Linked DNA regions of Rattus norvegicus. The protein of the gene in region 4 binds, or shares a complex with, the protein of the main gene of each other region. Links are inferred from orthologs where the notes say so. Each region holds a gene or a part of one and is shown on either strand. Other genes may lie near its edges.

The links.
Region 1: Pigc (region 4) and Piga share a complex: the UniProt entries of both Homo sapiens proteins name them as parts of the glycosylphosphatidylinositol-N-acetylglucosaminyltransferase (GPI-GnT) complex. The link is inferred for Rattus norvegicus from reciprocal best matches to the Homo sapiens genes PIGC and PIGA.
Region 2: Pigc (region 4) and Pigh share a complex: the UniProt entries of both Homo sapiens proteins name them as parts of the glycosylphosphatidylinositol-N-acetylglucosaminyltransferase (GPI-GnT) complex. The link is inferred for Rattus norvegicus from reciprocal best matches to the Homo sapiens genes PIGC and PIGH.
Region 3: Pigc (region 4) and Pigy share a complex: the UniProt entries of both Homo sapiens proteins name them as parts of the glycosylphosphatidylinositol-N-acetylglucosaminyltransferase (GPI-GnT) complex. The link is inferred for Rattus norvegicus from reciprocal best matches to the Homo sapiens genes PIGC and PIGY.
Region 5: Pigc (region 4) and Pigq share a complex: the UniProt entries of both Homo sapiens proteins name them as parts of the glycosylphosphatidylinositol-N-acetylglucosaminyltransferase (GPI-GnT) complex. The link is inferred for Rattus norvegicus from reciprocal best matches to the Homo sapiens genes PIGC and PIGQ.

The regions. Positions count from the first base shown.
Region 1 is NC_086039.1:33,683,538-33,690,022, reverse strand, and holds the start of Piga (phosphatidylinositol N-acetylglucosaminyltransferase subunit A), read left to right. Parts: upstream 1-2,405; 5' UTR 2,406-2,996; intron 2,997-3,011; exon of another isoform or gene 3,012-3,725; 5' UTR 3,726-4,014; intron 4,015-4,021; exon of another isoform or gene 4,022-4,368; intron 4,369-5,192; 5' UTR 5,193-5,254; coding exon 5,255-5,972; coding exon of another isoform or gene 5,973-6,190; exon of another isoform or gene 6,191-6,485. UniProt on the Homo sapiens protein: Catalytic subunit of the glycosylphosphatidylinositol-N-acetylglucosaminyltransferase (GPI-GnT) complex that catalyzes the transfer of N-acetylglucosamine from UDP-N-acetylglucosamine to phosphatidylinositol and participates in the first step of GPI biosynthesis.
Region 2 is NC_086024.1:103,626,080-103,632,231, forward strand, and holds the start of Pigh (phosphatidylinositol N-acetylglucosaminyltransferase subunit H), read right to left. Parts: upstream 4,081-6,152; 5' UTR 4,050-4,080; coding exon 3,870-4,049; intron 1-3,869. UniProt on the Homo sapiens protein: Part of the glycosylphosphatidylinositol-N-acetylglucosaminyltransferase (GPI-GnT) complex that catalyzes the transfer of N-acetylglucosamine from UDP-N-acetylglucosamine to phosphatidylinositol and participates in the first step of GPI biosynthesis.
Region 3 is NC_086026.1:28,964,102-28,969,656, reverse strand, and holds Pigy (phosphatidylinositol N-acetylglucosaminyltransferase subunit Y), read right to left. Parts: upstream 3,233-5,555; 5' UTR 2,958-3,232; coding exon 2,742-2,957; 3' UTR 1,781-2,741; downstream 1-1,780. Other genes in the region: uncharacterized protein Pigyl1, read right to left, coding at 3,544-4,182, 4,418-4,627. UniProt on the Homo sapiens protein: Part of the glycosylphosphatidylinositol-N-acetylglucosaminyltransferase (GPI-GnT) complex that catalyzes the transfer of N-acetylglucosamine from UDP-N-acetylglucosamine to phosphatidylinositol and participates in the first step of GPI biosynthesis.
Region 4 is NC_086031.1:76,874,279-76,880,519, reverse strand, and holds Pigc (phosphatidylinositol N-acetylglucosaminyltransferase subunit C), read right to left. Parts: upstream 3,456-6,241; 5' UTR 3,395-3,455; exon of another isoform or gene 3,256-3,394; intron 2,480-3,255; exon of another isoform or gene 2,431-2,479; 5' UTR 2,270-2,430; coding exon 1,376-2,269; 3' UTR 1,100-1,375; downstream 1-1,099. Other genes in the region: C13h1orf105 (uncharacterized protein C1orf105 homolog), read left to right, coding at 4,707-4,792. UniProt on the Homo sapiens protein: Part of the glycosylphosphatidylinositol-N-acetylglucosaminyltransferase (GPI-GnT) complex that catalyzes the transfer of N-acetylglucosamine from UDP-N-acetylglucosamine to phosphatidylinositol and participates in the first step of GPI biosynthesis.
Region 5 is NC_086028.1:15,459,009-15,465,195, reverse strand, and holds the start of Pigq (phosphatidylinositol N-acetylglucosaminyltransferase subunit Q), read left to right. Parts: upstream 1-2,107; 5' UTR 2,108-2,144; intron 2,145-2,681; exon of another isoform or gene 2,682-2,972; intron 2,973-6,187. UniProt on the Homo sapiens protein: Part of the glycosylphosphatidylinositol-N-acetylglucosaminyltransferase (GPI-GnT) complex that catalyzes the transfer of N-acetylglucosamine from UDP-N-acetylglucosamine to phosphatidylinositol and participates in the first step of GPI biosynthesis.

The DNA.
Region 1 (6,485 bases), on a different chromosome or scaffold from region 4:
AGTCTTTCTCCATGTGGTTCTTCTCATTTAACATCTCACTTAACAAGCTTTCAAGAGGAAAGGTTCCAACAGGGCATGGCCCAGTGCACAACATTCATGGAGCATTTGCTGCATCTCATTTGCTGAGGGTATCCTTGGTGAAGCAAGCCACATGGTCAAATCTCTGATTCGATGTGGGAGGGATTAAATACAGGTTATCAACTGATGGATCCTTTATTGAAGGCCACCAATGTAAAAATTTCTCACAAGGTTAGTTCTTGTCCCTAGCCACACATGGATCCTGCCAGTATTTATTATTCTACAAGAGCTAATCCTTGCTCCATGTTTTACTTTCACTTACAATGTCCAGGGCCTATGTAGCTTTTAGTCTTTATTAACAGTTTGCAATTTTGAATTTGTATCTCTTTGGGTCTGAAAAAGTACATACACACAGAAAAAAAACATACCTTTTCATTTATATCTGATTTTTTGATTTGAAGCAGAACAAGGAAGTGTGTCACAAAATAATGATTGAAAAATGTCATGTTTGCTGGAAATATGGTTAGCATCAAGTACATTTTCTTCAGCAATTTTTCTTAAGCAATTGACCAGTTTGCTCTAGTTCTTACTAATAATGCCAGTATTCTGGCTACATCTCTTCCCTATCTCTTTCCTGTATAATTATACAAAAAATCTACTGAACAGTCGGCATCTGCCTCTGTATCTTTATTCACTTTTTTTTCTTGAAAGGATCTTGCTTTCAACTTGTATGGATACGCCCTACTTCTTGTTTCATAGATGCTGGTAGATAGAAATACTCTTTTCACTGAAACTCTCAGTCTTTTCTCACATATTTCTCTTATAGCACTTAGCAATTCCTTTTCTCATAGACAGTTTCATATGTTTCAATTTCATCTTGGTTTGGAAATAGTACTCTTGCCAAATTTTTTCTTTGTGTACTTTGCATATAGTTAGCAATCTTTCACGACATGTGTGATGCCTCCCATTCTAAAATTATCCAAGGAAGCTTATTTCCATATGAATTTGCAAAGAACTAAATTTCAAGGGAAGATGATGTCTACATTTACTCGACATCTTTTCTTTTTAGGCCATTTGATAGTACCACTGGCATTGGATACCTTCATACTTTATCATCAGAAGACACTGCACATCAATGTTTTAGTGAAATTCTTGTGGCTTCCAAGAACGTTCTCTAAAGCAGTAGTTTTTAACCTTCCTAATGTTGTGGCTCTTTAATACAGTTCCTTGTGATGGTTCCCCTACCATAAAATTATTTTCATTGCTACTTCATAACTGTAATTTTGCTACAGTTAGGAATCATAATGTAAAACACCTTATATACAGGATACCTCAAAGGGGTCGTGATACACAAGTTGAGAGTCTTTGCTCTAAAGGCATGCTTCGAGGTCATTCAGGCAGAATTCTACAATCCAAATCACCCCTCACCCCCAGATTTATCTCTTAACTCTGCAACAACTTTCTTTTAAATTTTAGAAAATATCGTTAACTTTAGCACAAGCTCCAAATCAATGCCAGTCATGGTGATAGTGCTGTTGTTTAGAAAAGAATTTATTCTAGAAAGGGCAGGAATGGCCACGCTGGGGGAACTGCACAAGTACCAACTGTAAAGAGCAGGTAACTATAAGAACGATCACATAGATTCTGTCTTCTTGGCTAAGCACAATCTGGCTCCAGACCTCAAGACAGTTTTGGCTGACGATTGCAACAGGTTGAGAGGGAACGTTTCAGGTTATACCTAAGATCTCCCCACCCCCAGCCCACCCCCAAACACACGCACGTGCCTGGACTGTAGAGTTGTAAAACAAAATCCAAAATCTGAACTTTGGAAAGTCCTCAATCTTTCAGACATGTACAGATTGTAGATCTAAGACTCAACGTTGATAGTTTAGATTTGATCTGATGTGATTTTTCTTTATTTGCGTACTTGTATTCATTGCATTTAGCAATCTGTCAGAATAACAAGAATCAACGTGGTTGGTTCGACTGTGGTACGAACAGACTGGAAAACGCCCTGACCCTTATTTCCCCGCCCCCTAACCCCGCCCTCCCCGTTTCTCTAACCGGAAGGAGGCGGGGAGAGAGTGGGCTTCCTGAAAAGAGACGCCGTAACTAGGCAACCAGGGTACTTACGCCCGGGACCTTCCGCAGCTCTTAGGAGACATGCTCCTGCGCTCGCTGACGCTACACTCCCTCGTTAGACAGTAGGGGATGACTGGGCGTCTCTCTTCCACGTGAATTCAGAACCTCTGTGCGATTGGCTACTACGGGGGCGCGGCGCTCGGGTCGCGGACGCTTCTGATTGGTGCTTTGGAGCAGTGGGGCGGGATTCTGCTTACAGCCGCGGGAGGTCCGGACAGTGGCGGCCATGGGACTCACGGGTAAGTACGTGTCTCGTCTGTCCTTTCCAACGTTCTCGGTCCCTTCTGGACGGGGTTGGGCCGTTCTTAGAGGAGCGTGGCTGGCTGTGGAGGAGGTGAAGCCTACCCTACGGGAGGCCCAGAAGTCAGGTGCGAGGGTCTCCGTAGTCAAATGGGGCTATGGGTGCCTTGAGGGTTGGAGCTGGTTCCTAGGCTGAGTTTAGTAGAGCGAGGGATTGGAATCTTAGGACGTTTTTCCGACTCCCTTTGCATATGGCCAGATTTTGCCTCATCCTGGGGTGGAGGCTCATAGACCCGGGCTGACCCTCTTTGGCTCTAGTGCACCCGAGATGCCTCTCAGGGAGTCGTGCCTTGGGACTGGATTAAAGTATGATTCTCTTGATTTCTCAGCCCCGTCCGAGCTCCCTCTAAGGATCCTCAGGAGCTTCTACTAATAAGGGAGTTTACTGGCCATGACTGAGAATTTTGAGGACTTCTTGACTTTGTCATTTACGTTGCTTGAGTAGGGACGTTTTACAGTTTGCTTAACATGTATCGCTCGGAGAGAGAATTCACCAGATTTTACAGCCTCTCTTCACTTATAGAAGCCAAGATTCAGTGAGTATGCAATATGTTGAGCTTTGACCCAATAAAGATTTTAGATATAATAACCTGGTGGCAGGCTGACTCAGAACATTGGAGGTCGGTGATGGGTTTTCATTTGGTTCATTATTTCTGCTCTCCTTGTCATTCACTTCTTAAAACTAAATAGGACTAAGGTCCAGGTTTAGATGACACATCACAGTAGAACAGCATTAGCCACTGAGGCTTTGCTTTCTTTTGCAAACTTGATATTTTCTTGCTTTCATTCTTTGTTTACGTATTGGTTGTAAATTTGATCATCTCTCTACTTTTTTCCAGTTTATGTGTCAGGGTGCTCTCCATGTCTTAGCTGCCCTGGAACCCTCAATCATTTGATCCCTCAGCACATGCTTCCTTCTTGCCTCCTCACTCACTCGGTATTAATGAGACTATTTTAAATGTAGATGAATTTGTTGGACAAAGTCAACACATACAGTTGCCAGTGAGACCTGAAACTCAGAGTTTAGGATAGTAACTCTTGATTGAGTTCTTTGTAGCCTTATAGATCTCAACTAAGATAGATTTTTTGCCAGATCTCCAAAGCTATGGCATTAAAAGTTTAAGCATAAATAGAATGGAATATTGAATGAACACTTCATACCAGCATAGGTTTAGGGAACTCCTAAAGGAAACATTTCCTACCTTTAGATGTAGGAAAGAGCCCACATACATACATAGCCCGTGTCCCACTCCATTTCCTTTCAGAGTCCACACTGAAAGGGCACTTGTAGAGGAAAGACCTACATAAGTAAAAGAAGGATCCCAAAAAGAGAAGGGAGCAGTTTGAGTATAACTACCCTTGAATAAGGAAGGAGAAACGGGATTGTCTGCAGCATGAGCTCCGGGTAACACTTGAAGAGAGTGTTCTTAAAAAGTAAGTTCTGGTTCCGGTACATTTTAATGGAAACCACAAAGCAGAATCGTGTGCGGTGCACTGGATCACTAGCTAAGCTGTGTAGCTATCGTCAGCCCAGTTTCAGCGAAGAACCAGATGGTAAATATTTTAGACTCTGTGGGTCATATGATCTCTTTCAAAGCCACTCTACCATTTTAGCATAGAAGTAGCCATCCACATAAGTGAATGGGCAAGCCAGGTTCCTGTAAAAATTTGTTCATAAAAATAGACAATGTGCCAGTATAATTAGATTTCACATCCTAGCCTGTTTTAGTATCCTTTTCTGCCTCAAGAGCCAGAACAAAAGGCAGTGCTAAAAGACAACAGCCTTTTTGCTACTTTTCATGACTCTGGAATCTGCTAGACTTAGCTAGTAGTACTTTTATGCGTCTTTTCAGGGGTTGCTGCAGAAGGCTGCATTTAGCCAGTGTTCTGGCTAGAAATTGGGCACAGGTAAGAATGTAGAGGTAGCTGGGTCCCTATCTCTCTCCATGTAGCTTGTAAGCCCTTTTTCTCTCATTGTCTCCCCTATGCCCTTCTTAGCCCAGTAGCTGCATGACTTATGTGTTAACTCCATAAATAAAAGCCATCGAACCTTTCATAGGCCGAGGTCAAAGATTTGCATGTCCCTTTTACCATGTTCTGTGGCTTACATGGTCCAAATGCAAGGAAGATTCCTAGGTGCCGTGGTGCACACCTATAATCCCAGCTCTTAGGAGGCAGAGGCTGGGAATGCTGAGTTCAAGGTCGGTGTGAGCTATAAGCTAAAACTTGGCTTAAAAAGTATGTGAGAAGAGATGATCACAATAACCTGGCACAGTATGTTCTCTCTAACTTCTTTAAGCTTTAGACTTAGCATTTATACTATATAATTAATACCTTATTTAGGTCTATATGTGAGAAAACTTTGCGTAGCGTTGGATATATAGTGATTTAAAAGGTGATAAAGCTTAATAAGCCGATAAAAGTGATAAGAGAACCAGGGAAATATATGGGTATATGTTTAATTATTGGAAAGAATTGGGTTTTGTAGCAAACCATTATGTACTATGACATAACGTTTATTTCCCAGCTCAATGAAAGCATTGCAGAATATCACTTTTTGTTCTGTGACATCACCATGCTAAGCAAGTAAATGTTAAGTGAATAAGTTTATAGTGTGCTTTGCTTTTATTTCTAAGGGAAAAATATGCCTTAGCATTACAACTATTTCTAACAGGATATGAGATATGAAATGAGATTAGGTTTTGAGCTGATGTCCTGCTTTTCTCTTTCAGGTGACAGAAGACACATTTCTTAACAGGCTTGCTCTGAGAACTGATGCGTGAACCACCTCAGCATGGCCAATAGAAGAGGAGGTGGGCAAGGCCAGCCTCCTTCAGTGTCTCCTTCCCCCGGTAGCTCCGGAAGTCTTTCCACTGATAGGACCTGCACTCATAATATATGCATGGTGTCTGACTTTTTCTACCCAAACATGGGAGGTGTGGAAAGCCACATTTACCAGCTCTCTCAGTGCCTCATTGAGAGGGGGCACAAAGTCATAACTGTCACCCATGCTTATGGAAATCGAAAGGGCGTCCGTTACCTCACCAATGGCCTCAAAGTTTACTATTTGCCTCTGAGAGTCATGTACAACCAATCTACAGCCACGACTCTCTTTCACAGTCTGCCATTGCTCAGGTACATATTTGTTCGGGAGAGAATTACGATAATCCATTCCCACAGTTCTTTCTCTGCCATGGCCCATGATGCTCTCTTCCACGCCAAGACAATGGGGCTTCAGACAGTCTTCACAGACCATTCCCTTTTTGGATTTGCTGATGTCAGCTCGGTGCTTACAAACAAGCTTCTTACTGTGTCTCTTTGTGACACAAACCACATCATTTGTGTCTCTTACACTAGTAAGGAGAACACTGTACTCAGAGCAGCACTGAATCCTGAAATAGTGTCCGTCATTCCTAACGCTGTAGATCCTACTGACTTCACTCCAGAACCATTTAGGAGGCATGATAGTGTAATAACTGTTGTTGTTGTCAGCAGACTTGTTTACAGAAAAGGTAATAACATAGTAGCTTTATTTGCATTGACAGCTTTTTTTTTAAATTTCTTGTCAGAAACTGTTCAATACTTGTATGTGATGATTACTTGTCTTTTTATTCTGTATGGTGGCTTTATAATGACTGGTAATTCTTGCAAGGGAAGGTCAGATAATCAGTTTATACATCTAAGAAGAGAAATGGATAAAAGCGGCTATAAATGCTGCCCCAACCTTTGAGGTTGTAATGGTTACCGAACAAAAGAAAGCCATTGACCAGATGTCCTCCAATCAGATCTTTGTAAAAATTCAGAGATCTCTGTGCAGGTAAGAATGTGCTGTGTGGCCTTTTCTTGTTTGATCACAGAAGTAATGGCTTCTTATTGCAGGCATTTGCAAAGCACATCTGTGACGATTTCATTCAGAGATGGCCCTAATGACTATTTTCATGGCTGACTTTTGTCTTTTGTGCACCTGTACCTGGTGTTCAGAATCAGTGGGCCTTTTGGCCCCATGGATATCCCGTGGCTTGCTG
Region 2 (6,152 bases), on a different chromosome or scaffold from region 4:
CTTGACTGATTAAATAGCCACTTGTTTTTTTCTAATAGAACTTGGAATGAATTGTGATTGGATCAGGAGTGGTCACATGCTGCGAGGAGACATGCAGGCTGGAGGACTACAGAAGAGGCCGATATATCAATTATGTTCTTAAAGGTTAATAGGAGGAACACTGGAGAAAGGAAAGGGGGGGGGGGGTTAAGATTAAAGCATACAGGAATAGCATATACAGCGGGACTTAACTGGTGCAGAGGTCATTTATTAGTGGTTAGTGCTTTCTGATGGGTGTGGTCTGCCACAAAGACAGCTAAGCTCTCACTGTGTGAGAGGAGCCAGGGCCAAAGAAGACTTTCACTTGAACTCTGCAATCTTTGAACCTCAATTCTTTCTGCATTAATAAAGCCCCTTATCATTTTGATCTCCTTTCGTTCTGGGCTACAGCTGTGACTAAAATGAATGTTAAGGGGTAAAAAGTGTTAGGTAGACTGAAGATGTACCTTAGTGGTAGAGCATTTGTCTAGCATGAACAAAGTCTTGTTTGATCGTGCACGTGCTCACACACACACACACACACACACACACACACACACAGCTACATATGCCCTTGTGTCTAAGGCACGTTTATAACCTTTTAACACTTCTGAACTGAACCGTGGGATGTTTTGTTTTGTTTCTTTTATCTGGTCTCTTGCACCTTTTTACTCCTCTGACTCTCCACAAGAAAAGGGAATCACAGACCTAGTGTCTCAGGTTCCTATTCCTGTGACAGAACACCATGACCAAAAGCAACATGAGGAGGAGAGGGTTTATTTCAGCTTACAGTGTACTCACACACATAAATAAATAAATCTTTAAAAACAAACACCAAAGCAAAAACAACAAAAAACAAACCATGAATCTTAACAAGTGAGGTCAACCACACACCTTTGCTCACCCATTCTGAACAGAGAATGGTCTTTAACATTTTTCACAAGGTTAACCAAAGAACAAAAAGAAGCAGGTGCAGTGGCTCACATTAATCCAAGCACCCAGGAGGCAGAGGCAGGTGGATCTGGACTATACACTGAGCTCCAGGCCAGACAAGGCTACACAGGCCACACAGTGAGGCCCTGTCTCAAAACAAACAAACAAACAAACAAACAAACAACAGGCCAGAGAGATGGCTCAGCGGTTAAGAGCACTGGCCGTTCTTCCTGAGGTCCTGAGTTCAAATCCCAGCATCCACGTGGAGGTTCACAACTGTCCATACCTCCAGTTCCAGGTGACCTGATACCCTCTTCTCACTTCCTTGGGCACCAGGCATGTATGTGCTGCACAGACAAATATACAGACAAGACACCCATATACATAACATAACACAAGGACAAAAGAATATGGGACAGAGATCCACAAAGCCTAAGATATTAATTTGGCCTTTTGAAGAAAAAGCTTGCTGACTTCTGTTCAGATAATTATTTCTGGCTGGTAAATAGGAGTCAGAACTGGGCCTCTGATGACCCAGAAACATCTCCTTTTGGCTAATTAACTTCAGGTGTGGGGCAGTGTCTTGTAAGCAATCCAAACTGAATAAGCACTATGGAAGAAAGCCAAGGTTTATCAGATGCAAGATTGATAGGGAAAAAAAGGCTAGAATACTGTGTTACTGACTGTTAAGAGTCAAATGGAGGAGAAAGGGAAGAGGGAAGGAGGGAAAAAGGATGGAGGGGAGAAGAAAAGAGGGGGACAGAAAGACAGATCAGAGCACACGGCTGGTCCATGAAGACTTCCAAGGAAGCAGGCCCCAACTGGTGCAGAGAAGATGGTACACGCTGATGGGCACACTCTGCTCAAAGGGCTAATATACTGCAGAATGGAATAATGTTAACAAAACTGATCAAAGCAGAGGGGGTCAGGGGGTCAGTGAATGCTTAGGGGATTTTACCCATCAGCCTCTGTCAAGATAATCTGCCTCAAAGTCTGTTTTCCTGGTCAACATTCTAAGGTGGCACACTACTCAGCCGAGTCAGGTTAAGCCACAGTTGAAGGACTCCTTTGAGAGTTCTTCCCACTATTCATCACTTCCATGAAGATTTGGAGTAGGAGAACGATCTGAACCTTTGCACACAGAGCCCTGGGGGAGTCTTGGAGTAACGTAAGGGAACACAATTACTTCTGCATTTGGGGGACATTTGGGTGTCCATGCAGGAGAGTACAATAGGGAACTGACAGAACAGCTATGAGCAGGGTGTGGTGCACACACCTGTAATACCAGCCCTTCCCTGGGAGGGGCTGAGACAGGAGGATGCAGTGTAAGGACTAAACTACATAGCAAGACCCTGTATCTCCAAACCAAACAACAAGTAACAAATGCGACTGCCTGAGATCTGGAGACCAAAGTATGGCGGAAAGGGATTTCAAAGTCAGGCAGCTCTAGTTTGGAAGCCCAGGTTTGTCACTTTATCAAAGTCAAGACTGTATTACTCTTTCTGAACATTTCCCCCATCTAGGGGTGAAATAAGAAATTCAGGGAAACAGCTGGCCTTCTGGGTATTTAATAAATATCAGTTCCTGCTTACAGATAACCGCACAGGTATCTGGAACACAGGCTGGAATTAACATTCAACTGGGCATGGTGATGAATCCCTTTAATAACAGCACTCGGGAGGCAGTAACCGCTGAATCCCTGTGAGTTCTAGGCCAGCCTGGTTTACACAGTGAGTTCAAGAACAGTCAAGGCTACATGGTGAAACCTTAACTCATACCTCCTCCCCCAAAAGAATAAAAATCCAAGTATCTTACAAATTTGGGGGAAGGGCTAGGTCAGTTTAATAACTTCAACTGACCTGTGAGGAAACTTTTAAATATGAATTGGTAAAAATTAGGAGTCTTTTTAAAATACTGTTTATTTGTGTTTGGTTGGTTGGTTTTTTGAGACAGGGTTTTACTGGGTAGCTCTGGTTTGTTCTGGAGCTGATAATGTAGACTGGTGTAGACCAAGCTAGCCCTGAATTCACAGAGATGCTCTTTCCTCTGCTTCCCTAATGCTGGGATTAAAGGTGGCCCCACCACACCAGCCCATACCATTGACTGTGTAGAGGTCAGAGGACAACTTTGTGAATCTGTTCCTTCCTTCCATCATGTGGGTTCTGGGGATTCACCTTAGGTGGTCCAGTTTGGCAGTAGGTGCCTTTACCTGCTGAACCATTCCTCAGACCCTAAATTAGGGGACTTAATTTCATCTATGTCTATGCACATTATTAATTATACTCTGCCATGCACTTGGATGGCATAAAAGTGATTGGACCAGGTGTGATGACACACCCCTTTGGGAGGCAAAGGCAGGCTCTACATGGAGGCTTCCAGGCCAGTCAGACTACATTTACTGAGACCCTACCGAAATTATTGATGATGATGATGATGATAATAGAATGCGGTTCAGAAAAAGATTAAAAAGTCTGGAAACTGAGCATAGAAAACACTCGTGTCTTAAATCTGGCAACTCTTTAGAAAATGCACTTAAATTGAGGAAGGGTTGGGAGAGGGGAGGTAGTTGATGTGGGCTTGAGAAACAGATATTAGGAGGAGATATTATAGTGTACAGTTGTGGAGGCATAAACCTTTCTGGAATTCTGTCGAATGCCCGCTATCCGTTGGCAGTGTTAGCCTGTAAGGAGTGATGGGAGGAGGATGCTCTGAGTTCTCTAAGGAGGTATGTTCCATGAATGAGCATGGCAAGTGGTCCACTGTGGTAGAAGGTTTAGATGCACAAACTTCTTGGGGAGGGAAGGCAGTCCGGCCGCGGAACGGCGTCCCAGATCCAGGGAGTCCCCTCCCTCCCGGATCCACAGGTGAGTCCCAAGACCTTTCCAAGCAGCCTGCACCGGCCGAGCGCCGGCCTTTACCTCGCACAGGGTGAAGAGCCCGTAGGCCGCCAGCCACACCGTACAGGTGACAGCGGTGAGCGACCACAGCGACAGCCGAGCCGAGCTGAGGCCGAATTCGCGGCAGTACGGTGAATAGTAGCGGCGCCGCAGGGCCAGGCGGCCGCCGCAGATATCGGAGAAGCTCTTCTCGTCCTCCATGGCCGCACACGCCGGCCCGTCGTGCCGCTCTAGCCTACACAGAGGCTGGAAGTCTCGCAGGCTCCCGACTGTTCCGGAAGTGGCTCAACCCGGCCCTCCAAACGCTCCGCGCAGCCGTAGTCGCTCACTGAGAGCCGGCCTGGGGCTTGGAACTAGTTCTGCCAGTTCGTCCTTAGCCAAAACTCCCCAGAATCGCAGCACCAGTTTTGGACAGATTAATATTTCTGTTCACTCGACTGACTCATTTATGTTGTTATGCCAGAATGACCAACAAAAAATTGTCTGCAGGTATATTCATTCATTCATTCATTCATTCATTCACGCATTCATTTCCCTGCGAAGGGATTTTAGGTACTGAAGATTTCTGGCCCCATCTAGCTTCTTTTCTAGTAGGAAAAACGATATAGACGTAACCTAATAGTATTATTGACAAAAACGTTCAGAGCTTCAGTGAGAAGGACTGGGCAACTAAGTAAAGGTCTTCATCACTAACCTACAAGGGCCACATTGTTCGGTGGGGAGTTGGGGGAGAAAATCTCCAAAAAGAAGAACCAGGAAAAAGCAAAGCTTGGAGGCTGGAACCAGTTTCAGTCACAGGAATCAAAAAACTATCGAGGCTAGAATGCATACCGGGAAAGAAGGTAGGCAGAAGATTCAGTTTTGAGTTGGACAGATGGCTTAACTATTCAAGAGTATGTTGACCCTAAAGATGGCAGGAGAAAAAAACACCACTGTACTGACTGGTTTTATGTGTCAGCTTGACACAAGCTGAAGTAATCACAGAGAAAGGAGCCTCCCTTGAGGAAATGTCTCCATGAGACCCAGCCGTAAGGCATTTTCTCCACTAGTGATCAAGGGGGAGGACCCAGCCCATTGTGGGTGGTGCCATCCCTGGGCTGGTGGTCTTGGGTTCTATAAAAGAGCAAGCTGAGCAAGCCAGGGGAAGCAAGCCAGTAAGAAACATCCCTCCATGGCCTCTGCATCAGCTCCTGCTTCCTGAACTGCTTGAGATCCAGTCCTGACTTCCTTTGGTGATGAGCAGCAATGTGGAAGTTAAGCTGAATAAACCCTTTCCTCCCCAACTTGCTTCTTGGTGGTGATGTTTGTGCAGGAATAGAAACCCTGACTAAGACAACCACTCAAATCATCGTGGCCAAATTAAAGCAAGCTTTTAAAATTCACTACACAGGCTGCCTCCTCCTGAGATGGGTTTCAACTTTGGATGTAAAGACAGGCTTTTATAGCTCAGGGGTAGGAAGGTTTCCAAATGGGGGATTTGTCTGGTAAAATAGGGTTACAGGAGCAGAACAAGTATAGCAAGTAAGTCCCTTCTGGAAAAAAGACACACAAGGTAGTTTTGTAACCTTTTGAAACAAAGGTTGCAAGATGGTTATAAACAACTTTTTCGAAACAAAGACATGATTACATTCCTGGAACAGGCAGTACAGAACCATTTGTAGTTAAGGTTACAGGTGGGGCATAGTTCAATCCTTGAGAAACAGGTTTCACCCTAAACAAGAATGAACCTAGTTTGTCTTTAAAATGACTTTCAAGCCTAACATGGAGGCAGGCAGGTTCTTCAAGTACTTACTCAGTGAGGAGAGAGAATTGGGGGAACCACTACGAGACCCTCTTTGCCACACTTTCTAAAGTTTTGGTTAAAAGAACCAGACCATGTATTTGCATAGATGGAGTGCTACTGTGGCAGTTCATAGAAGCAATCTTATTTCTGATGATGGGTGATTATTTATTTCTACTGTTGAATTTATTCTTAGAACTTGAATCACTATAAATATGAATAACGGAGAAGCAAATGTAATCAAATAATTCCGCTGGCGACTCCGCAGGCCCAGACTGGGTTCTTAAAATCTTTTTTATGGAGCTCTTGCTTTAGTATTCGCTTAGACTTAGATTTCGTAGTTCTGAGAATACTGTGTTAGGAGCCTTCCAGGGGGCTCTGCACGTAAAGCAACCTGCCTCCAAGGCTAATGACTTGAGTTCGATCCATGGAACCTACGTGGTGGAAGGAGAGAACCAACCCCCACAAGGTGTCCTCTGACTGTCACAAGTTGACCAGCTGTGACATGCCTGTACCCACGCTAA
Region 3 (5,555 bases), on a different chromosome or scaffold from region 4:
AGGGCATGCTGCTCTAGGGTAAGCACAGAGGTGGTGACGGTCATCTCCATGGCCCTTTTCCCAGCCGGAACTTCTGGTTCCCCTAAGCCAACAATAATAGATTTTTTTATGTTTGTCTGTAACAGTACCTGGGTATGTGTACAAGTGCAGTTGTCCAAGGATATCAGAGAGGGCATTGAGTTACAGGCAATAGTGAGCCACCATACACAGGCACTGGAAACCACACTGTCACCCAGAAAGAGGGAACCTCAAGGAACTGCTTAATTGCTTAATCGATTGGCCTGTGGATATGTCTATGACACGATTTCTTTATTTCTGATACAGGAGGGCCCAGCCCACTGTGGGTGGTGCCACCCCTACCCAGGCAGTCTGAACAGTAGCTGAATGTGAGCTGGGGAGCAAGCCATCCGATGGTCTCTGCTTCAATTCCTGCCTCCAGGTCCCCACTTTGAGCTCCTGCCCTGACTTCCCCCTCATTGATGAACTACAACTTAAAAGTGGAAGTCAGACAAACCTTTCCTCCCCTAAGTTGCTTGTGGTTGTTTTACCACAGCAACAGAAAATAACCCAGGAGCTAGAGCGATGACTTGGAAGAGCTCTTGCTGTTCTTGACAAGGGCCCAGGTTCAGTTCCCAGCACCCACACGGTGGCTCACATAACTCCTTAACTCAAGTTCCAGAGGATCCAATACCGGCTTCTAACCTCTGTGTGCATCTCAAGCAGAGGGCTCATTTATACAAGCAAGTAAACCACTCATGATCTAAAAAAAATCACTTCCTAAAAGTAGGACACTCTTGGGGCTGGGGATTTAGCTCAGTGGTAGAGCGCTTACCTAGGAAGCGCAAGGCCCTAGGTTCAGTCCCCAGCTCCGAAAAAAAGAACCAAAAAAAAAAAAAAAAGTAGGACACTCTTAATCTCTGAGCCATCACTCCAGCCCCCTGACTTCTTTAACCCTGTTTCCAGGGTGTCTGGGACTTCCCCAGAGGAAGAATGTCACAGCCTCTGGGCCACAGGGCCCAATGTACTCAAGGATTTCCAGACTCTGTCCAATGCAGGCATCAAGAACTGGCAATGGTCACACCCATCTCTGGCTTACCTTCAAGCAAGGATGGACGGCTTTCAGCCAAAGAAAACATGTTCTCTTTTTTGAAAACTTTGTGTTTATTTTTAGGGGTGTGTGTTAAAAACCTGAGTACAGTGCTTTTGGAGGCAGAGCCTCTGAACTTAGAGGTACAGGGAGTCATAAGGAGTCAGAGGAATTTAGGCTGGGAGAACAGGTGTCGTGGTTGAGTAAGAAGAGCCCCCATAGGCTCATGTATCTGCATGCCTGATCTAGCTCTGCTTTGAGTGAAATTTCCTTGCAACTTTGAAAATCTGTATATGGGCCTTTATTCCTTGAATAAGAATCCAAGAACCAGAAAACACCAACACTGACCTTGCTCACCTGACACTGAAAAAATGATGGTAGGGGCTGGAGAGATGGCTCAGTGGTTAAGAGCACTGGCTGCTCTTCCAGAGGTCCTGAGTTCAATTCCCAGCAACCACATGGTGGCTCACAACCATCTGTAATGGGACCCAATGCCCTCTTCTGGTGTGTCTGAAGACAGCTAGAGTGTACTCATATAAATAAATGTAAAAGAGGGGTTGGGGATTTAGCTCAGTGGTAGAGCGCTTGCCTAGCAAGTGCAAGGCCCTGGGTTCGGTCCCCAGCTCTGAAAAAAAAGAAAAGAAAAAAAATAAATGTAAAAGAAAAAACAATGAAGGTAAGTTTATAGTCAGATTTTTTTCCCTCTTAAAAATAAATTTATTAATGTGTGTGAATGAATAGACATGTCACAGGTGTGCAGGTACCCAGAGTCCAGCAGAGGGAGTCAGAGCCTCTGGAACTGGAAATACAGGCAGTTGTGAGCCACCAACCTACGGACCACTCAGCTCCTCAAAGGAGTCATCCCTGAGCACTGGATTTTCTTCAGCACCCACACAGTAGTTCCCAACCATCTGAAACCCTTGTCTCAGCAGATCCAACACCTCACCACTGACCTTGAAGCTGAAACAAAATCCCAAATTATTATTTTTACAGTCTCGTTGTGCTGGCCCAAACTCAAGAGATCCACCTCTGTCTCCCGAGTGCTGGGAGTAAAGGTGAGTGCCACCACTGCTCGGCTTCCAAATGACGGACTTTTAAATGAATGGACTCAAAACAACAACAACAACAACACAGTCCTCAGGGTGGTTGGCTGGCAGAGTGCCGACTTAGCGTTCACGACCTGGGTTCTGCCAGACCACATAAACACATGCGGCAATGCTTGCCTATAACTTCAGCACTCAGGAGGTAGAGACAGGAAGGTAAGGAGGTCAAGGTCTGCCTCTCACAGTTTGAGGTTAGCCAGAACTAAGGGAAGGGAGGAAACAGGCAGGTGGAGAGATGCTCAGGGGTTAAGGACATGAACTTGCTTGCCCTTGCAGAGGATCTGAGTAAAGCTCCGGCAGTCTTACAGTTGCTCGTACCTCCAACCCTCGTGTGGCCTCTTTGGGGACCCACACTCATATCCACATAATTAAGAATAAATCTTAGAAAAAACAGTCTTCGGATGAAGACCGGTCATGTTCCTCTCCCTTGGGACATATTTATTGTAAGTGTTTTTCAGCTACAGCACTAACAGGAGAATCTGCAACACCTGAGGGCAGAACCCAACAACCAGGAGCCTCTTGCCCCGTGCACAAGCGGGGCCTCAGCTACCCTAGTTATGTCTGAAGAGCTTCAGGCCCATCCAAGTCCACAGGTGGAAGAACACGTACACCGGTACGGTGACCGGCAGAAGCAAACTGTAGAAGCACAGGCTGCTGGCGCTGGTACAGCCCTCTGGGAAGTTTTCTTCCACAGAGGCGGAGTAGAACAGGCCCGCCAGGGAGATGAGCGGGATGAGGACAGTCAGGGTGGGCAGAGACAGGATCATCCTCCTCCCTTCTGAAGGTATACAGTTCAAGAAAACTCGGTTGTTTTCAAAGTTATGTTCTTGTGCTGGTGCACTCCTGTCTTATCTTCCCTTTCTCTGGACTCCTCTTTCATCCAGGCATGCTTCCCAAGAGCACACAAAAACTTCAGCGGTCCCAGGCTGAGGGTGACGGCTCCTCAGCCTCGTTCTGATCCAATCCACCACCACACGAAGCGGTTACCAGCGACTGCAGACAACACACGTGTCCCTCGCAGCGCTGGCTAAAGGATTCCTTACTGTATGAGAAAAGTGCAAGATGACAAGATGAGGGGAAGGGAAAGGAAAAGAAGGGGAAACAGCCTGTACAGTACTGAGCAGGTTAAAGGCAGGAGGATTGCTGTCACTTGCAGTCTGGCCTCAAACATTGGGATCCTCTTGCATCAGTCTTCCCAAGCCACCACGCCCGACTAGAAAACAAACCTTCAAAACACTCAAGTGTCATCCATTTCTTTGGGAACTAAGAAATTCGAAAAGCAGAATGAAGGACAGGTGGACTGATAGTGTTTTCTCGAACCGAGGAAGCGGAATGAGACCTACAAATCCAGATTCACTTCAGACACCTGAGTGGAGGCTTCCCGTACGACGAGGACCGGCTGGGGACCAGCACCGGAACCCGGAGCCTCGTCACGAGCCGCCCGTCGTCAATGCACAGAGTGAAGACAGCGCCAGCCCTGGGCCCAGTCGCCTCGGGGACGCGAAGGGGCACCCGGGTCCCGCTGCAGTCTCTGGCTGACCGAGGGTAGCGATGGCCGGGTCGGAGAGAACCGAGCCAAGCCGGAGAGAACCGAGCCAAGCCGGAGAGAACCGGACCAAGCCGAACAGGGCAGAGGAGAACCCGGCCGAATCGAAAGTGAACCAGCCAGCCAAGCGGAACCGGAGGCGTCCGTGGCGCAGACGCCTTGCTAGCGCGAGTCCTGTCCCAGCCGGTTCCAACAGCTCCTCCGCCCGTATCGGATCTCGAGACCCTGAACTCACCATTCACTGGCCTGTAAATGTCCGGGTCCCGGCTGCGCCTGGCTGTGACCGTCACCGCTCTACGAAGGCGGAGCACCCGGGCCAGCCGCCCAATCAAATCCCTGAGGGGGCGGGGTAAGAAACCCAGATCCCGCGAGGGAGCCGATCCGCGCGTGCTCATTGGACAGCGCACCACGCCTTCGCTCCGGCGCTCAGGCTCCGCCCCCGTAGTCTTGAGTGACGGGTGAAGCCAGAGGGGTGCTGAGAGGACCCTGATTGATAAGGACCTCCCTGCCCCGGACCCCACGGCCTCCGGCTGGGCGTCCTGTGTGCCAGGACTGCTGGACCTTGGAGAGGAACGTATTTGCCGCAGAGTGTGTTCACGGCGTTCCAGAGCAGACCGGTGTCTTTCTGCGCTGAAAAGCTTTCCCCATTTCTAACTGATAAACTTGAAGCCTGAATCAAACTTGGTCGCAGCCACCATCACCCAGCCTCTGAAGCAGCGGGGAACGAGTCCGATCCGTCGTTTTACGTTTGAATTGGTGAATGTCAAAATAGTAGTTTGGGCCGATGAGAGGGCTCAGCGAGTACGGGCGTTTCCTGCCAAGCCTTAGTAACTGAGTTCGATCCTCGGGGACCCCCACCCCCACGGTGGAGAACCTATTTTCTTCTCGCATTGTCCTCTGACCTCCACGCATGTACTGCAGCACACCCGCGTGTACTCCTGCAAAAAGTGTAAAATGCAATTTTAAGAGAGAATGTTGGGGTTGGGGATTTAGCTCCGTGGTAGAGCGCTTGCCTAGGAAGCGCAAGGCCCTGGGTTCGGTCCCCAGCTCCGAAACAAAAGAACCAAAAGAGAGAGAGAGAGAGAGAGAGAGAGAGAGAGAGAGAGAGAGAGAGAGAGAGAGAGAGAGAGAGAGAGAGAGAGAGAGAGAGAGAGAGAGAGAGAGAGAGAGAGAGAGAGAGAGAGAGAGAGAGAGGGAGAGAGGGAGAGAGAGAGAGAGAGAGAGAGAGAGAGAGAGAGAGAGAGAGAGAGAGAGAGAGAGAGAGAGAGAGAGAGAGAGAGAATGTAGCCAGGCATGGGAGCCTAAACTCCTAATCCCAGCACTCAGTAGGCAAAAGCTGGAAGATTTCTGTGAGTTTGAGGTCACCCTGGTCTACATACACCCAGGTCATCGCAACTACATAGTAAGACGGTGTGTGTGTGTGTGTGTGTGTGTGTTGGGGGACGGGTAGTAAATGCTGTGCACAGCCACCGCTTTGCCTAGTAAGACAGTGTTGTCTCTGATCCCAGAGTAAAGAAAAATGAGACTGAGCTAGGATTCTATGCAGTACCACACAGGGACCGCCATCCCTTAATCTTCCAGCAAACTAAAAGATCAGAAAGTTTTTCTTCGCACAGGTAAGTAGTGGTATCGATTCCATGCAGTTTTTAGTGCAACCACAAGGTGGCAGAAAAGAGCTGAGGACAAAGCCATCCTATGGTTTACACAGAGCAGATATGAACATTTTTTTAAATTAAATTTTTAAAAATCGAAACAAAAAGTATCAAGATGGTTCAAGTGGTAAAGACACTCACTGCACAAGCCTGTGGAGGGACCAGTA
Region 4 (6,241 bases):
TGGGGATTTAGCTCAGTGGTAGAGCACTTGCCTAGCAAGCACAAGGCCCTGGGTTCAGTCCCCAGCTCCAAAAAAAAGAAAAAAGAAGAAAAAAATACTAGAGGGGAAAGCTGAGAACTGCACAATGAGGGAATTCAAGACGTCACAACCTGTCCCATCTTTAGACAAGCCGGATTGCCCCTTACCAGCAACAGAGCCCGATTACTGGATCAATAGAGAGCCGACAATGACTCAAGCTCCCACTCTTTGTGTTCCTCCCCCAGATCTCTGTGACTAAATCCCCGTCACTTTCTGTCTTTGCGCTTGGACTGTATCACATGTAGTCACGTCTTGCCTGCAAATGTGGCTGGCAAGCTGGATTAAAGTTGAGGCCATTTACAAAGTTTATTCATATTAAGAAGAATCAGAGTCACAGCTACTGTGATACTTTCTCTGAAATGCCACAGGTATGGATCTCAAACTGAGTAGAAACAATCATTTTCAGAGTGACATTTTGGACAGCTGACCTCACTGAGCACACTCGCTTGCTCCATAGTTTCCCACACTTGCTCGTATTGCCTCTCTGGTTCTCAAAGGCTATCCTCCAAGAGTAAATCAAATGTCACCTCTGGTTTCCTAATTGCTTGAGATGAACTCTCCCTCCAGCCTCTTTCAATATCTCTCAACGTTTTGTTTCTATGACATATAACTCTCCTTGAGTACCACTTCTGTAGTATCGGACAACAAACTGGATGCCACCATCTGAGATCCTCAAATTCAGGCTCTAGATATATAAAGGTGTTCCTTAGTACACAGATAAAAGGCTAAACAACTGATTGCACACATGTGCGTGTCACACGCACACGCACTCACACACACACACAAACACACACACACACACACACACACACACACACACACACGCCTTCATATTACCTTTGTCTTATGCTCTCATAAAAATCATGAGACAGGGCCAGTGTGGTGGCTCAACTGGTAAAGGCTTGTTGTCAAAGCCTGAGTTTGATGGGTGGGCATATATACTGAACATAGACCACCCTCTCTCTCATGCACACATACATAAGGGTTGTGGTTTTTTTTTTTTAAATAAGAGACGATGCAATAGATGTTACTCTTTTAATAAGCAGAACCCACATCACATCATTGTTAGAGGGAATAAAGGACAATAATTCATAACAGCACCAGAAAGCTTTTTAAGTCACAAGGTAAACTGAAGGGCAAACACCTTCCCCTAAACCCTTGGTTAAACTCTTCTGATCTCAGCTCTACCACCCAGATCAGCCTGCTGCTTTGAGAGTGGAACCCTGCCTTTAAATGTTACACTGGTTAGGTTCTAAGTCTTTTAACTTTTCTTAATAATGAAATGCAGGTCCCTAGGTTAGCTAAGGAACCTGGACAAGTCTTCCTTGATTTCTGCCTCATCCCAAGGCCCATGAATATTTTCCTTAAAAAGCTGCAGGTGAATGAGATAGTAAGGGCAGAGACAGGAAATGGAAAACAGCAGAAGAGCAAAGAGTATGGCTCCCACACCACTAATGGACAAAAGACCTCCAAAAGCTGAAAAGGCAAAAAGCAGGGTGACCCCGACATAGCTTCTTGGGGTATACGCCTTCAGTTTCTTCTGTAACATGGGCCACAGTGCAAAGATCTGGATGGCAAATGTCACCATGATGAAGGCATGTAGTGACCGGGGGAGGCGTGAGGCCAGGCAAACAGAAGCAAAGATGGCCATATTCAAGGACAGTGTGCTAGATACAATAGCAGCATTGGCACCGTAATCAAAGAAGATGAGATGGCCTAACAGCATAAAAACGGACATGGCGTAGATGGTGTCCGTACTGACGGACTCTGTCAGGGTCTTTAGCACTGGTGAGAAACCGTACGTGAAAGTAATGAAGACCAGAGTACTCTTCAGGTCGGCCCACCGGGTCCGCCCACTCTTCTTCCGTCCATCACCTCCATCAATAAGATCAAATAACACATACCCAACCAAGGACGATGCCAGTCCAGTCCCAAAAAGCCACTGGGGAGCCAGAAGACCCTCGTCCATGTACCACCAAATGACTACAAAGACACAGACACTGCACAGCTGTTGTATCACCACACTGGACTCAAATACCACAGCCCAGTATTGGTATTTCCGGGCATAGATGTTTTTCCGGAGCTCCTCCAGGAACCTTTGGTCAACATAGTTATCAGGGAATGGCTGCCGCTCATATAAAACCTTCTGCCACTTGACTTCGGAGGTGTCCGCTACATGTTGAGCACACATTATCTCATCCTTTCCTGAAATCCAGGCGGGCTCAATCTCCCTCAAAGATGCCCACAGGATTCTAGTTCTTGATAAAGTTGTAGATTAAGACCTCTCAGAAATGCCACGCTGATAGCATACAGAACTTTCCTTGTTTACAAAGTCTTCGGGCCAGGCTAAGCCTGCAATAGATGAGTTTGTTCCGTGAATCAGGACAACGCAACTAAATTCCTAGAAAAAGAGAGAACTGTAAATATATCAAAGCTGGGGATGTCATGGTAGGCATCAGTTACAATCAAAACGACTCTGCTTATTGAAAGCCTAAATAAATTCTGTCTAGTGACATAACGAGGCACCAAACCGTCACATTTTAAATTAGAATCTTAATCATTGATATCTGCATAGCATCACTGACTCAGAATGTTAAATGTCTTATTACCTTCTTTAATTGTCACAGCCTTACAAGTTAATACCAGTCCCACTTGACCTAATAAGACATCTGGGTTTAAAAACAGTAGAGTATTTAGGTCTCAGGGTAACAGAGTGGACCCAGACCTCCAACAAAAGTCTGGTGTCAAAAAGTCTGTGCTTCTGGTCATCCTTCGCTAAGCCAGTCTTAACTTGGGCATTCATATACCCTAAGGTGTATGAACATATTTTTGCATGATTATATTTGCAACTTATGCAAATTTATAGAAACAGAATCCATAGCTGTTACCAAGGTTCCCAAAGGCATCTGAATAAGTTATTAGTCTCATGACAACAGTAATCTGCACAAAACAGAAGGGTATGATCTCTACAGTTTTAGCCCAAACCAAGAACTCAATTCTTCTTTGTTCATTAGCTGAGCTCACCATCCTTTAAAGTGATATATCATCCTAATTAACTGAAACAGCAAAACTCTAGTGCAAGATCAAGAAAACAACCATCCCATTTTAGAATGGGAAAGTCAGAGTCAGAAACAAAAAAGTCATTCAGCAAATTTGAGAAAGAACTTCCTGCCGGACCTTCTTTATTTCATAAGAGGCCAGGATAGACCTTTACTTTAAAAGCCGGACACCCTGGGATCGGCCTTCATGCACTGGGACCTCTGGATCAGAAAGACCCGCGGTACGGAGCAGGGAAGGGTCTTAGACAACCACTCACCAAGCCGGCCTGCCCTGCCCGCCGCCGCCCCTCTCCCAGCCTTGGCTCAGCCGGAAAGGCCCGAAGCGAAGGACGCCGGAACCCACCTGCCCCAGCTCTTTAGGGGGTGTACGACCGAGAAGAGCAGCAGCCCTGCTACTTCTACATCCGGGACGCGGGGTTGGAGGGGACTACTGTGGAGGAGCACTTCCGGATTCGCACCACTGGGCGGCCAAAGCGTCCCTCCTGAGACACCGCACCGCGAGGTCGCTGCTGCCCTCTACTGGTTGCTCCTCCTGGAAATCTGCTTATAGTGGAATGCTCTTAGCCTAGGAGGCAAATCCCTCAGTGGGAAGCTGGAAAAGGGAGGAGTCGTGGGGCTGGTAGAAGAGTGCTAATAGTAAGGTGGTTGAGCATGTGTTGTCAGGCTCTCAGCCAAGGGACTCTCTAACGCATTCAAGCCCTCCTCCTATAAGTGCCAAACCAGGCTTCTGGTATGCACCAGAAGGAGAGAGAAAAAAATTCCCAGATCTCACATAGCGTTCTGTGCATTGATTTCCACAAAGACGATGTGGTCATTAGTTTGTATTTGTCCAAAGTCAGGCGGCTAGTTGATGATTGCAAGTAGATCAAAAATATCCAAATGCGGATGGCACCAAAGCTGGATTCTTTCCTAGACTTGGCCACCTAAAAGGGATGAGGGTGGAGGACCTGTGGGACAAGAGATTGCTGATTTTCAACTGGGGTCACAGAAGTATCCCAGGATTTATAAATAGATGGAAGCTCAAAGAACGAAAAGCATAGAGAATATTAAATAGAGTGGACACAAAGGCAGAAAGCACAAGCCCATTTATTAATATTCACACTATTTGGGTTTTGAATTTTGCATCTGTAAAAGAGAGAAGGCACTTACTTGTTCTTGGCCACTGTGTGGAATGGCTGAAGGACTCACGTGTAAAAATGTTTTATCGATTGCTGTGTCTGTCATTGCTATTAGCTTAGTTTGGTCATTGTAATACCAGCACTAGTCAAGTGTTATAACTCTTTTAATACTTTGCTTTTAATTATATCTACACATGTGTAGGTATGTGCTCCTAATTACAGGAGCCTATGGAGGCCAGAAGAGGGTGCTGGATTCCCTGATGCTATAGTCATAGGCAGCCATGAGCTGATATGTGGGTGCTGTGAACTAAACGTGGGCTTTTCTCGAAGAGGAAGGAGTGCTTTTAACCACTAAGGCATCTCTCTGGCCCTCTGACTCCCTTTAAGATTTATTTTTCATAAGTGTGTGTGATGAACTCTGTAAAATGATCTCTCTCCATTTCTCTTTTAGACTTTTGTTCCAAAATTTGACAAGATTCCTTGGCTTAGTGAGGCCAGCGTGGTAAACAAGCCGTTAATACTCAGCATCCCTAGAAGGTAATTTCCCAGCTTCCGAGGAGGAAATGTGTGAGAAGGAGCTCAGTGGCTGTGCTCTTAAAGGGGAGAGGCGCATGTGACCTGTTGAGAAACCAAGTTGAGTGCCCAAAAAAGAAGAAATTCCCTGGATTTCTCAGACTAAAGTTCTGCTGTGTAAGGCCTCGCTAGAATGAGAGCCTGCATGACCTTCGTCTCTGCGTGCATTATCACTCAAAACACATCCGCAGCTCACCTCCCCTGCTTTAGTTTCTAGTCTTCAAATTTTAGCTGTCAAAAGTCTAGACCTATAACATGCCATCTTCAGAGTGGCAGTTGCTGTATTTCACGTGGGGCCTCCTCAGGTTTCATGGGTCCCTCCCTCCTCACAAAGCCAACAGAGAAAATATTTCTGTTTTTGAAAACTGAGTGTTTATATGTAGGGGCATTTCAGCTTCCCCTTAAGATAATTGTGTTCTTCATTCAACACCCCCCTTAGTAATTCAATTGTCCCTGGGTGTGGTGATAAGACTTCTCTAGGGGAAAAGATAGGTTGTGAGATGATAGGGGGAAGTAAGGAATCAGGCAAGCCAGGAAGGTACAGAGACCATTCCACAGGCTTGTCATAGACTGGCAATGGTTGCTAGAAAAAGCACACTCTTGAAGAGTTTCTTTTCCTGTTGGTAATGGTCCTGCATCCTTAGGTCTGTGAGCAAATGACTACATAGGGATCTCCATACCTCAATAACACACGTTTGTCCTGTCTGCACTTTAAAACAGTTCTCAAAAAGCTGGTAGATGATTTTGTGTATTTTCAAAGCAAACATTTGAGTGCCTGTTGTTCGTGTGTGTGTGTGTGTGTGTGTGTGTGTGTGTGTGTGTGTGTGTGTGTGTGTGTGTATCTGGCATGAGCAATAAACTCAGAGGTTTGCTTAGGAAGTAACAAAGTAATAAACCCATTAAGAGTTGATAGTACCTTAAGAATCATCGCGAGTAATGATAACTTAGCATCTTTTTAAATTCGGCTTAGGTCATAAGCTCACATGCTGGTGGCAGTCAGATGGAAGTCACACTGATAAGGTTAGTCAGAGGTAGCAGTGAATGGGAGAACTGACCAAAGATGACACTCCCTCTGCCTGAGTCACTGTTGCCTCAGGTGTCTGATTCCGGGGCCAAATATGCTCAGTCTTCTAATTAGAAATATGGAAATTTCAGGTGCTTGAGCTAACCACCAGCATCCCAGAGTACTCTCTGCCATTCGATGTGCCTCTGAGCCCAGGGCAGAGCATCCCCATGCATGTTCCTCCTGCCTCCATCTCCCTTGTTCTCTGTCCAACTTTGGTGAAAGGTAGCGGGTAGAGAGCAGAGTGGAGCTTGAGAAAGGCAGGCTTAGCGCTCAACTGGTCAGTCATGGTGCCTGTTCTTTCAGAGTCTAGATCAGGGTTGTCAGGGACACTGGTTTATCTGCAGCAT
Region 5 (6,187 bases), on a different chromosome or scaffold from region 4:
CCTAGCTACACCCTCCCCCAACACACACACCTATGCTGTCTCTAACAACAGAGGCCTGACCTCAAGCCCCGAGGCCAGTTAGCCCCAGGTAAGAGGTATCATAATCTCTGTGCAAGGGGTGAGGGGCAAGTGGGGAGCCCTGGGAGGTTGGAGTTTGAATGTCTCCCTGGCTAAAGCAGAGGGGCTGTGTATGGTGATGGTCGAGGTGAAGATGGAGGTGATAGTGGTGAGGGACTAATGCGAACTTAGGCAACTCCTATGAAGGAGTCATCCCAGGGCTGCTTATCTGCCTCCTCCCCTCCTCCTTCTCAAGCCAGGACACAGCCGTGCATGCGATTTGAGCCTTAGAGCTAAACCTTTGACCCTTTTGGGTGCATAGTATCTCTCAGACTACTGCAGCAGACACCTAGACACCTGTGTGGTTGCTGTGCTTGGGGACCAGGTGAGCACTCAGAACCGGGAGGAATTGAACACACATGCAGCTCAGCCTTCCCCTCCACCTCCTACCTCACCTTAGCTCTTCATCTACAATGGGAGGGTGCCAGCACCCATGGGCCACCATCTGCACACATGGATGTTCCAACTCTTTTGCAGCTGCAGAGAAGCCGAGACTGTGACTGCTTGCTGCCCTGGCCTCCCGTCTGTCCTGACTCCTTGACCTCCTGGGCCACCCCTATCCCCAGCCACCTACCCGCAAGGGCCTCATCTCAGGCTGGACCAACTTAGAGATGCCAGTGGCTCTTGGCAGCCTCGGCTGCTGGGACGAATCCTGGTGCCAGCAGGGGCTGCAGGGAGCCCCCGAGGCCTGCACTGTTCCCCAGATGGCCTGCTCTTCTTGACGGCTGGTGCTGCATCTTGTGTCCATGTGCTGGATCTTGAGGGACGCTCCATTTGTCAACTACCCTGCTGCATTCCTAGAACTGGAGCCTTTGTTCCAGAGGATGTGGCTGTGACAGCTGCAGGGCTTGTGGTGGTCAGTGACCTCATCCACAGGGCTGTGTATGCTCTTCGGTACACTTCCCGGGAACCCCAGGGCCGCTGGGTGACTGTAGGCAAGTTCTTGTCCCCCCGAGGGCTGGCTGTGGATGCTCTTGGCCACTTCCTGGTGACAGACTACTTGCCTGGAACTGTGCACAGCTTCATGTTAGGACCAACCTGTGAGCCTCTTGCTCCAACCTCCATGCTAGGTCTGGAGAGCCCTTGTTGGGTAGGTCCAGGGCCTGATGGAGGCTTTGCTGTGAGTGAAGAGTTTGGGGATGTACAATTGTTTGGCAGTGCCCACCAGCCTCTGGGCTCCCTAGGAACCCTGACTGGGCACAGCTTTGGTCATCCAGCAGGTGTGTGCTGTGATGCAGAGGGTAGCATTATTGTGGCTGATGAGCAGAGGCAACAAGTGACTCTGTTTCCCCGGGTTGGGCCACCCATCTGCTTGCCGTTGGAGGGACTAAAGAGGCCCTTGGGTTTGGCCTGTGCACCCCAGGGCCCACTAGTGGTGGCAGATGCAGGGGACAACTGCATCAAGGTATACCAGTATCTGGGGGGAGATGGCCTGAGGGTGGGCTCTGGGGAAAATAGTCCGTTGCTATGACTGGCCGGGCCTGAGTCCCTTGTACTATCGTGGAAGATTAGTAGGCTCCTTGAGGGCTGCTGAGCCTTCTTCCTGACACCTGCTCTTAGCTAGCCTTGTGATTTCCTCTTGGCAAGTGCTCCTGTCTACACCGAAACCATGAATCACCATCTCTTGATCAGGTTCTAAATGGGGTCACCTTCACTTCCCTGTTCAGTATGCTCATAGTTTTTCATGGCCTGAAACCCCATGGGCCATCCAGTCCCTCGTTCTGCTAGCTTGGGTCTCAGGAGGCCTGAGCTCTGAGGCCACACTTGAAGCTATAGATCCTGGGGACTGAGGCTGTCTGCCAGCAGATACCTAGGCAAGATCTCCTGCCGAGTGCCCCAACCCCTACATCCTAATCAGAGGCAGGCAGGCAGGCAGGCAGGGTGTGGCTAGGCTGGGCTGGGCAGTTTAGGGGAAGGGTGTGGTTCCTTAGTGTCCCCCCGCCCCCACCCTCAGAAATATCCCATTCTTGAGCCTCCAACAGCGCTCTGGGACCAAAAGAGAAGTAAGGAGTAGGCAAATCAAAGGGGTAAGCCTTATATGTGTCCTGAGCTTTTGGGTGGGGTCCTGGGATGGTTCTGGGTAGCACAGGTTCTTTCATACCCTTCCATTCAAGACAAGAGCCTTTCCTCCCATGTTACAGATGAGATCTGGAAGTGGGGAAGGGCGTGTGTGCACATGTGTATGTGTGAGGAGCTTACTCAGTGAGAATCTGTGTCTCACCCATGATCTTCAGGTGGGAAAGAGCAAGAAAAAGGTGCTTGCTTTTGTCCCCTTCAGGGTGTGGGGTGGCACCCAGCCTGTTGTCTGGAAGTTGAGGTCACCACACAAGTCACTCCTCCAGGTTAGCTCAATATGTCCTGATCATTATGTTGTGGGGGATTAACAGACAATAAAAGAAATTTTGTTTGTAAGTAGATGCTCAAATTACTGCGTTGTTAGGGGAATTGCTCTCAGACTATGCGACCCACGGAGGTCGCACTCTACCCGCAATGTAGAGAGATAGTGGGCAGGGCGGGGGTTTAGGAGGCCAGGCAGGGTGTGGCGGTAAGAACAAAGCGGCTACCTGGATCCTCAAAGGCTGGATCCACCCGATCTTTCAGGACATTTACAGCGAGGGTAGCTTTGATGACAGGAGCCGTGCGCGCGGAACTCTCGGGCTCAGGCAGTGGACAGCCCGGGCACGTTTGGGGACCGGACCGTCGCGCGACAACGCGCGGAGCCGGCGGAAATGGTGCTGATGTCCCGCGGCGGGCCTGGGAGCCGCGAACACAGTCGTCCTCCCGGGCCCGCCGAACGCGGTGCTCAACCAAGTCCCTTCCCTACCGCCTGGGTACGCGGCCCGGGGGATCAGCCGGTGAGCACTAGCGGGGGCCGGGGCCCGGAGAGGAAGAGGAGGAAATCCCGAGGCAGCGCAGGCCTCTTGGTCCTCAGTGCCTGGTGCCTAAGACTGTGAGATAGGAAGCTGGAGGCCGGGGTGGAGGGAGCAGCGGCTACCGCGCAGCTGACCTCCAGGCTCAGCGGCACCCTTTGTGGGTCTGGGCTTGCTATCCCGAAATTGAGGGCGGCGAAAGGCCCCTCCTCCTCTCCAGGCGGGGAAATTGTTGAAAGATTCCTGGGGCACCGGCTGAGAGGCTCATATTTATCGACTCCAGTAAAAATCGGAAACAGATTACCCCCACCCTTTGAAATGAAAAAGGAAAGCATTTACAGAGGCAAAAATGTGTTTCTGGACAGATTCTCTTATAGGCTAGGTTGGCCTCAAAATCCTAGTGTAGCAAAGGATGACCTTGAATTTTTTTGATCGTCCTGCGGCCACCTTCGGATTACAGATAAACTACTACTATCGGTCTATGAGGTTCTGTGGACTGAACACAGGGTCTTGTGCAGGCTAGGCAAGCTCCCTACCAGCTAACTACATCCCTAGTAAGAAAAGTGGGGTTTTTTTTGGGGGGGGGGCGTTTATCTTGAACGTGTGGTAAAACCGAACCCTCTCAAAGATTCACAAAGTAATGTTTCAGCTATGATGTGTCCCAGGCCTCTCCTAACTGGGCTGTACATCCCTCAATCCTGCTCCTTGCAGGGGAGTAAGCAGTACCTCTGCTTTTGCTCAAGTCTGACTTGGAGTTCTGTGGAGAGACTTCCTGGGGCCTCTTATTTAGACCTCCTGGGAATGGGCTGTCCAGGAGGGACTTAGCAAAGGCAGCTTTTCCAAGCTTGGGCTGTTCTTTTAACCAGCATCTTTAAAGGTGTTCGCACAGCCCAGGTCTCTGCCTTCTCTTTCCAGCCTCTCACCTCTTGTATCGATCGCCTGCTCTTTCATTTTTTCCTGCTGCTGAAATCCCAGCAGCCCAGTGGAAGCACACTGCTTTTTACACTTCAGTGCTTCCGGAGAGGCTGAGTTGGGAGTAAGGGTGGGGATTTGCCTCCAAACTTGTTGAGTTCTCTCAGTGCCCCACAGATCAGAGCACCAACCTCTCTCTGCCTTCCACCTTCTTTCCTTAGACCTGAGCGCTCTCTCTCTCTCTCTCTCTCTCTCTCTCTCTGTGTGTGTGTGTGTGTTTGGGTTAAGGTAAACTATAAATGAAGCATGCTCTGTAGAAAGGATGTGCATAAACACAGTGTGCATACAGCACAGTGGATTTACACCTTGAACAGACTCAAAAACAGCCTTCACAACATCAGTTTATAATTAGACCAAGGGCATGTCTCTTCCCACCCTGTTGTGAACATTTTTCCTTAGTTCATGTGAAGTGTTCCCCAGAAGAGCCAGATATTTCGCTGAGCTGGTGTATCCTTACAAGGTAGTTGAACAGGAGCTTGGGCTGGGCTGAAGGGTCCCCTATGACAGTGGCGCACTGGGGCTCTTACAGGTAGAATGGCTCTAGTATTTTTGTTTTCTTTTTTTTTTTTTTTTCCAGAGCTGGGGACCGAACCCAGGGCCTTGCGCTTGCTAGGCAAGTGCTCTACCACTGAGCTAAATCCCCAACCCTGGCTCTAGTATTTTTAACAGTGCATCACTACCCCGTGTTGTGGCCTTCTGGAGACAGTTCCTACTGAAGGGACAAGAGAAATTGATTCTTGACACTGGCAATGGAGATTTGGCCTGGCCTGGTATTGGGCATCAGGTTTTCTCTGTGGACACCCACCAGTTGCCTGGCTCCTCCAGGCACTTTGGGGTTTTGTTTTACTGGAGGCTTCTGACTTGGAGTTCTATGGAGAGGCTTCCTGAGGCTCCTTTACTTGACCCACCTGGGAATGGCTTTTTCAGCCTCTGACTGTTCTTTTCATCAGCATCAACATTAGGAAATCTGACAGTGCTAGGTCCTGTTAGTCCTCTCAGCTTTGGGCTGGCCCTTTAGTTCCTATGAAACCCTAGGTCTAATCCTCAGTGTCACAAAAACAAAAAGCTTTGCCAAGTTGTTCACGTGACGGTTTCTTTGGGCTGGTATGCTTGCAGGGAGGGAGCAGAAGTATCTGGGTTCCTCAAGCTCTGGGCATTTGTCTTTAGGACAGCTACCACCACCACTTGTGTTACCATCCGTCTGTCCTCTTCTCTCCAATTATTTTATGTGAACACTAGACCTGGAAACCAGGCTTCAGCCCAAGATCTGGGCCTCCCTCAGGAAAGGATCCAAAAATGGGGGTCTTTGCTCTGGGTGTCTTTCACTTCACATGGGCAAGATGTGGTATTGACTAAAGAAATGCCTATGTAGGCACCTGGACCTTGCCAAACATTCCAGCAGTTCAGTCCAGCAGGCACAAGCGAAGGAAACCCACAATCTCCAAATAGCTCCTTTCTGTGGAGGGAAAGGTGTAGGGTTCACAGAATAAAGGGTTTGTAGCTGCTGTGGTGGTTCTTGATGCTCAAAGGTCACACCAAGGGCCTTTGAGGAGTTCAAGGGCTAGTGTCCCCTCAGAAAATGCATTGACATTCTCTCATGGAGAGAAATACTGCTCTGCCGGGAGCCCTGTCTTGGGGTGTCTGTCAAGGATTTCAGAGGTGAGTAGAGGGCAGAGCAGAGGGAGCTCTACTACAGAGCTACATTTCCAGTCCCTTCTTTACTTGCCTTTCGAGACTGAGTCTCTGTGTCACATCTCTGAGGGGAAAGGTGTCCTGGAAGTCTGGTGCCAAGGAATAGCACAAAGTCACACCACACAACAAGCCTCATTCAAGAGATTTATTGGGAAAGACAGAAGGCAGCTACCTCGTTTTGGGCCAGAAGTAGCCAAGAACCGTGAGAGGCAATCTTGTATAGGATTTCTTGGGAGGGTGGGGTGGTGGACCAAGTTTTCCAGGGTGGGGATTGGTGGGATTTCAAATCCTGAGCTAGGGACAAGCTCAGGGATTGGTGAGTTTTCAGCGGCAGGAGGACATGCTCCCTGTTGCAGGAGAGGCTCCTTCAAGCAGGGGCCTGAGACTCAGCCTTAGGACCGGTGCTGTATCTGAGCCCCAAACCAAGTTTGTTTGGTTCACTTTTCTTTTTCTTTTTTTTATTGTCACTTTTATTTTTATTTTTGGTTATTTGGTGGTGTTTGAGATCAAATTCAGAATGTTGGCCATGCTAGGCA